Arabidopsis thaliana: one gene and its partner. The protein of the gene in region 2 interacts with the protein of the main gene of each other region in a pairwise test. Each region holds a gene or a part of one and is shown on either strand. Other genes may lie near its edges.

Region 1 (3,836 bases), 1.0 Mb from region 2:
CTGATATAGGTGCAGATTCGCAGATGGGTACGCCTCTAATCAACTGAGGTTGGTTTTCGACGTAAGTTTTGTCTGCTCATGTTACAACATGCATAGCTGTCGCCTTAAATAGCTAATAGAAATTGCTGGAAAGTAAAGTGTAATGGATCAGTGTTTTTGTTTGTTTGTCTGTATACTTACTTAAGCGAACACATTTAAGCAATTTCCTTGGAGAATGTAATTTATTGGCCTATACATGCTTCAGTTTCCAGATTACAATCTGCAGGATTTGGAGCAATTAAGTATATGTTGACGAAACTTGAGTTTATTTAACGAACATGCTGCTTTCATTATATGTTTCTAGTTCTATAGCGAAACACATACAGGAAATTCGCTGAGTGATCATTACATGTTCTGAAGAAAGAGAGTCATGGCCAGATGTCTGAGACGCAGCTAACAGCTTCACTGGATACATTACCAAGTCCAGGGCTTGAGTTCTGTCCAGAAAGTGTCATTCCAGGGAACAAAGATTGGTCACTGTGGACTGTAATGGCGGGCGAGGTATTTCCCGTGTAGTGCAGACTGCTGATGGAGTGTGATGGTGGACTTAGATGAGTTTGTAGAAGTTGATTCAAGCTGCTAGTGAGTGACCCTCTCGCTACCAAATCTTCTGCTAGTTTCACCTATATAGAATTTACTTAACTTAGCACATTCCGGTTATTACTTTCCCAAATTGAAAAGAGCAAGTGATAGATGATACCTTGACTCTCAGAGTTTCAACATCTGATTTGAGAACTCTGTTATTTGTTCCAGCGCTACGAAACTGTTGTGTTGCGTCTATGAGCTGCTTGTACAGTGTTGAGTTATCGCCTTTCAAAGAATCAACCTTGAAGAAAACACAAGGTCACCATTAAAACATTACTCTCTGATACAAATCATCCAACAAGCTATTTGTTAACCTTACCTGAGTCTCAAGATCTACCAAGTACTCTTGCTTCCTTCTCCTCGACCTCTTTGCTGATTCCCTGTTTGAGTTCATCCTGAATTCACATCACAGAAAAAGATTAAGAAGAATTGGTGATTCTCTATCTCAGTGTTTTACATCTAACTTTTTTATTGGTACCTAACATACCTTCTAATACGTTTCAGATCATTGGGATCATTAGTCATTTCAGATTGCCCTGCTTCTGTCTCGGCATCTTCGTCATCAGAGTTAACATGAGAAGATCCACTTGTGGTTCTCCTAACTCCTCCTCTTACCTCAGGTTTATTGGCTGACACTGGACTATCAGCTGACAGATTCTCTTTGTAGATAAGAGCCACACAAGTAGTGAACATTAATATCAACTGCAACAACACTTATTACTTACATGGAGTCAAATCAAAGAGACATGCACATACCGCAGATTGAGGACTGTGCATCGCGAAAAGGTCCAGCCGGAAACAATCCCTCAGACCACAAAAGACTATCTCTTAACTCACAAGTGTAATCCTACAACCAAAAGAAACTAGACTCTTAATTACTACAATATCTCTGGATCTTGATATAGACACAAGCAACAATGATACGAATAAGAGAGACAACAAAAGGACTAACCCGGTTCATGAGGTCGAAACAAGGGTCTAGAGGGCTTGTAGTGAGATACTCTTGTAGAGCCAGCTCAGAAGCACTTCTCTTCATACCAATGTCTTTAGCTGTGTGATTATCCATTTTCTTTGAATGTGAACACACAAGAAAGAAGAGAATTGGTTGGAAAAGAGAGGAGAGGGGAAGAGTAAGTGGTGATAGACATCTTCTTTATATAAGTCTCTCTTCTTTACTAAAGTTGTGAAAAAGCTTCTTAATGGCTAAGCAAAATTGAATTTGCATTGTCAATGCAACGTCCTCATTTCCAACTTTTTTTTTCTTTAATGACAACAATAACAAAAGAGAATAGAAAAGCAAAGCCACAGAGATGTATATTAGGCTCTGTAGTATTGGTGAATATTATGGTACCAATTATATGCTAATGATAACCTTTAATCCCTTAACTAGGGAGACTATCTAAGATAGCTGGAGACTCTTTCAATATAAATCATATCTGAATTCAAACATTAAGTTGTTTGTCAGCTCATTAATATGTTGGAGCTTTTGATTTGAAAATGAATGTTATAGGCATATATATAAGCAGCTTATATTCATAAAAGGATCCTAAAATATTTCGAAATAAGCTTTTAAATATTTGAAAATATTTAGATAATAATATTGTCACTCATGTACATTTGTATTCTTGGCACATGTCAAGAACCTTACACTTACATAAATTACTCTACTACATAACCTGTTTGAATTCGAATTTGAAGTACTTAACGACTAATTTAAGATTAATATACAAGGGGCATAGTCCAATGATGAAACTACAAAAACATTGAAAATGAATAAATTAACCTTTTACGGTAAATGTTTTACCGAATATATAATTTCATAAAACACTAAAAACTAATCTTCATAAATAATTGATAATATTTGAAGGAAAAATATTGATAATATTGTTTCAGTTTTTTACACCTTTGTATCATGTAGTAAAAATCTTTAAAATATTTATTATCATTCATTACTACTACAACACCAAAAAGAAAAACTTAAGAATTTTCCGGTCACACGAACAACACAAAATGCTTCGTCCTTTGTTTACTCTTACTTTTCGCCATATGCTTTTGGAAAGCAGATCTAAAAGACATTTCTTTCCTCCAGCACCAGAAATACTTTTTATTTCATCAACTTTTGTATGCGTAAACCAACTTTTCTTTCTTTTGATCTGCACTTCCTTTAAAAAGTTAAAATATTTCACAACAAAACAATAAAAAGAAACAAACTAGGTAATGTGTCTTTAAACAAACAAAAGTTGTTTAGATCCGAAAATAGAATCCAAAAGCATTTTAAAATTATTATTTCTCACTAACTAGAACTTTCGAACCTATAGTGGACTACAATGTTTACAATCTACCGACTACAGTACAATTCAGTAACCATAGTAACTAGTACAATTAAAATTCAATCCTTAGTGATGTTGAAAATTTTCATGTAATTTAGATGATGATTGATATACGTTTTTTGTAAGAAACGAATTTCTACTTGAGGCACATGCTAAATTTGTAAGTTAAAATACAGAAAATATGAATGAAAATTAGTTTATGAACACAAAAGTAATTTTTGTTTTCTTTTAGCAAAAAAAGAAGAAGTAATTTTTCTGTTTCTACAAACTCTACTTGTAATCTCCAAACGAGGTTTTGCAAAGAAAAAGAAAAGAAGATGAAAGGAATTATAAACAAAGGAAAAGAGAAACAAAAAAAAGACGTTGTTCTATGTCTAGTGATCACTAGAGTAGTTGGGGTGATTTAGTTTTCAGAAATTACTTTTCAAATCATATAACTGTGTTAGTATATTTTTTGGTCATGGGTAGATAAAAGTATTATAGAACAAACAAAAATTCTCATTTAAAATTCATGACAAAAACAAGAATTCTCGTGACCAAATGAATTTTATCAAAGTTTATGTGACCAAATAAAAAACACTAGAATCTTTAGTTTCAGTTTTGAGGGACCAATTGAATCTTTATTTGTTTTTTTTTTTTAAAAATTATTTTTGATACTATAATATTTAGTGTAGTAATTATATTTAGAATCTTTCTGGTTACAGATTTAAAATATTATTCCAGTAAAAGATCATGTATGACGTGAACGAGATTGAAGCTAGAGGTTAAAGATCACAAATAATAAAAGTTCATAAAAGCAAGGCCATAAGTCATAACAAGAGAAAATCTCCAAGTGCATTTATTAACAATCCGGAGGTTATGATATCATCGTCATGTACTATC
Region 2 (3,600 bases):
TCCATGCTTGTCACAGTGGACCCTTGATGCAGCGCCAGAGCTGCCTTTGTTGGCAAATCTTCCAGCGACCATGGAGCTTGCTGCCTAGGAGCAGGATATGTCACCTGGAAAATGATAAATGCTTAGAATTTTGAGAAGATGCAAGAATTATATAAACAGCTTTCCAGAAAAAGAAAAGAATTCGCGTTACCTCCTCCACAGATGGAGCAGGGCGGAGACGCTTCATTAGTTCATGATCAGGATTCTGATAATCTACTATACCTGGAGTTGCTGGTGGTGTTCTTGGTCGCTTCAAGATTGACACTTTTTGGAAGAAAAATAATAAGTTTTTGATGGAAACTGAAATGATAGTTATTGATAAGTCGAGGATTAGAAATCTAGAGGATCGTCAAAAACTAACTTTGATTCTGAGGTTGAGGCATCAAGGCAGGTGTAACAACGGCAGCTTGGACAGCAGAAGCACCAGAGGCAGCAGCCATCCAACTAGCTAAAGCACCAGCATTAGCAGCAGCAGGACCAGGTGGAAAGGGCTACATGTAATACAGATTCCACAAACATTAAGATTAATTTAGATTCAAAAAACATGATTAAAGCAGTCAAACATCGAGGTTTCTTACAACATGAGGTCCAAGTGACGGATAAGCTGCTGGCTTCGTCAAAGTAGTAACAGGCTGATTGACTGCTGAAGGTGCGAGAGGACCATTCGGAAGTGTGCAAGTGTGGTCTGTGAATAGAGTTTTAATATCTGGGTTTGGCCTAGGATTCTTGCACAACTGGTGCTGCCAATTGAGGCTGCAAGAGAACATATGCACAATGAATCATCCAACAACGAAGTCATCCAAACCTCATCTGCAACATACAGAATGGTCATGAGGAAAGAAAAAAGAAACACACCTTTGATTAATCAGAGTCCGCAGTCTCGAAGATCTCAAAGTAGGGAACATCAATTTATCACGAAAAAGTGGATTCGCTTCAATTAGTTTTTTAAGTTCGCCTAGCATTATGCCCCGAGCAGTTTTAGTGTCTCCATATTTTGAAAGCTGCTCATTTTCCCTGCAGATTCATGAAAATCATTGATGTCAAATTTCAATCCACAAAACGCAAACAATCGAGAGAGAAACTCGAGTATCACACCCTCTTTCACATCCAAACAAAAACAGTCTACAAAGCATCACGAACTCGACTTGGACTGAACCTAAACCAAGTCTCATATTCCTACTTTCCATAACAACAGAAACATCAACAAGGAGAGATCAAAATTCAATATATCATACCTAAAGTTTTGCAAAGTTAAGAGTTGAGTGATTTCTTTGTAAAGCTCCTCATTGAAAGTGGAGAAAACTCTCAAATCTTGCACTAGTATCTCAACTGCTTTTGCCTTCTCTTGCCTGTAACAACAGAGAACATCAAACTCTAAAACCACAAATCTTCAAGAGTAAAAAAACAAATAAGACAGCTTATAATCATACCGATCAAGAGCCTCGAGATACTTCTGCTTCCTAATTTCAAAGAAAATCTTCATAGAGTATCTGTTATCATCAACCTTAGTAAAACCTGACAAATACGTCTCAACATCATCCCATTCTCCAGCTAGAACTTTCTCATCAAAATACTTGGTATTGAAGAAGAATCCTGACTCTTTCTCAAGCCTATATTTAACAAATTACAAATCAGTCAATCCCAAAATTCAGCCTCTCACAACACAACACAAAACAAACCATATAAATAGACTAACCTGTGCACAGATTCCTTAAATTTCTCTTCCTCCAGAAATTGAAGTATCAGAAACACCAACTCTCGACTCAACGACGACATTCTCAACGAATCTCAAATCTGACGAGAAACGAAGAAGAGAGACGACGAAAGAAACACGAATCCGAGCTCTGAAGACACGAGCCCAGGTAAAGACTCTGATTTCGAGGATTTCTAGGGTTTTGAAGAGCTCTAGCTTTTAGAGAAAAATGGAGAGAGAGAGAGAGAATATATAAAGAAGGAGGAGAAGATTGGGGGATTGAGAAACTTTAGACCTCGCTTTCTTGGACGCGTTCTTCTTTGCACAGAGACATCGTTCTACCGACTTATCAGATATAAGCGGAGTCTTCGTCGGTGATAAGTAGGCTTCCTTATAAGAGAGGTAGGTTAAGTTATTATCAAATTGAGTGATAAGTTGATTTGGAGATAGAGTGGCGGATTCGAAAACAAAATTCAAATAGTGTGAATATTCTGTGCACACGTCCAGTCTGGTCCCCACATTTTTCTCTCTCCTTTATTATGTCGCTCTCAGCTTTCGATGCACTCTTCGTTTGGCTTTTCTCATATTATCCTTTTTTTCTTTTTCTCGCGATATTTTTGAGATCTCTTTTTCGCAAGATTTAATTAAGTGTTCGTGACAATTACAATGTGGACAATTCAACATCTCGCAGGTTACGTCATATATAATTATATATACTCATATTATAATCTTTGCTTTTTTTTTTAGGCATACACCAGGAGAATTACTCGTGTTCTCCATGGCGAAATGAGATTATTTATAAAAGAAAAACATAATATGGATTTAGAAAATAGATATTTGAAAAGAAAAATAATAAAAAAAGGAAAATAATATTTTTAATATTTCTTTTTATTTGATTTTTTAGGAAAAACATAAATATTAAAAAAAGACATATTAAATCTTGTTTTTTAAATGTACTATTTTTTATAATTTAAAATTTTTAATAACTTTAAACCAATAATATTCAATAATTTTTATTGAAGTTTACAATTTATCAATTATAACTAATAAGTATTGTATTGAAAACCTATAAAATTAATCTTTTTGAAACATTTTTTTTCTAGAAAATCAAATAAAAGAAACATATGGAGTATGAAAATAACTTATTAAGTATATATAAAATAAAATTTTATAGAGGCCGAATACATTAACTTTATTAGAATTAAGATTTACAAGTATTTAAGAGATAGAAAAAAATGATTAGGATATAACAATATGGTTTACATGTATATTCTTTATACGTCCTTTTAGTATGGAAGTACTCGTGTAGCTCTAATTTTGGAACTTTTTTTTTGAAATATTGATTTCGCTAAAGATTTAGTGAATGTATTTGCTAACTGATCACCAATGGAGACATGAGTAATCTGAAGCATTCCAGCTTGAATTAAGTGCTATATATATGGTTCATTCGAGAATAGAAAACCGGATTGGTACCGAGGTAAGTGGCACCAACATTTTCACAATATATCATATATATTCTTTATACCATTTAGAATTGTAAGCTTTGGTACCATATAGAGGCTAAATGTATTGACTTTATTTTAGAATGAGATTTACAGGTATTTATAGAGAGATAGAAAAGTGATTAGGGTATACTAATGAGAACAATACAATTTACAAATATATCTTATAAATTTAAGGATAAATGTCAATTTTCATTTTTTAAAAACACGATAGATACAAATCGAGGTTAATTCTTCAAAACCTAACTTAAGTAAAATAAGAAATTTGATACTATGTTTCCTAACTTAAGTAAAATTTACTTATTAACATAAATGTAGAAAATATTTTTAAATTTGTTTTTTTCTTGATAATTTAAGGATAAACTA

The links. Proteins that work in one complex are often made in the same cells at the same time.
Region 1: the proteins of TPR3 (region 2) and BZIP9 interact in a two-hybrid assay, tested with the Arabidopsis thaliana proteins (one study listed by BioGRID).

The regions. Positions count from the first base shown.
Region 1 is NC_003076.8:8,513,113-8,516,948, reverse strand, and holds BZIP9 (basic leucine zipper 9), read right to left. Parts: upstream 1,750-3,836; 5' UTR 1,691-1,749; coding exon 1,577-1,690; intron 1,472-1,576; coding exon 1,381-1,471; intron 1,284-1,380; coding exon 1,112-1,283; intron 1,020-1,111; coding exon 944-1,019; intron 866-943; coding exon 740-865; intron 663-739; coding exon 408-662; 3' UTR 280-407; downstream 1-279. Other genes in the region: AT5G24810 (ABC1 family protein), read left to right, coding at 1-47. UniProt on the Arabidopsis thaliana protein: Transcription factor.
Region 2 is NC_003076.8:9,513,449-9,517,048, forward strand, and holds the start of TPR3 (TOPLESS-related 3), read right to left. Parts: upstream 1,960-3,600; 5' UTR 1,816-1,959; coding exon 1,736-1,815; intron 1,650-1,735; coding exon 1,470-1,649; intron 1,389-1,469; coding exon 1,275-1,388; intron 1,054-1,274; coding exon 895-1,053; intron 793-894; coding exon 618-792; intron 531-617; coding exon 401-530; intron 304-400; coding exon 191-303; intron 105-190; coding exon 1-104. UniProt on the Arabidopsis thaliana protein: Transcriptional corepressor. Negative regulator of jasmonate responses.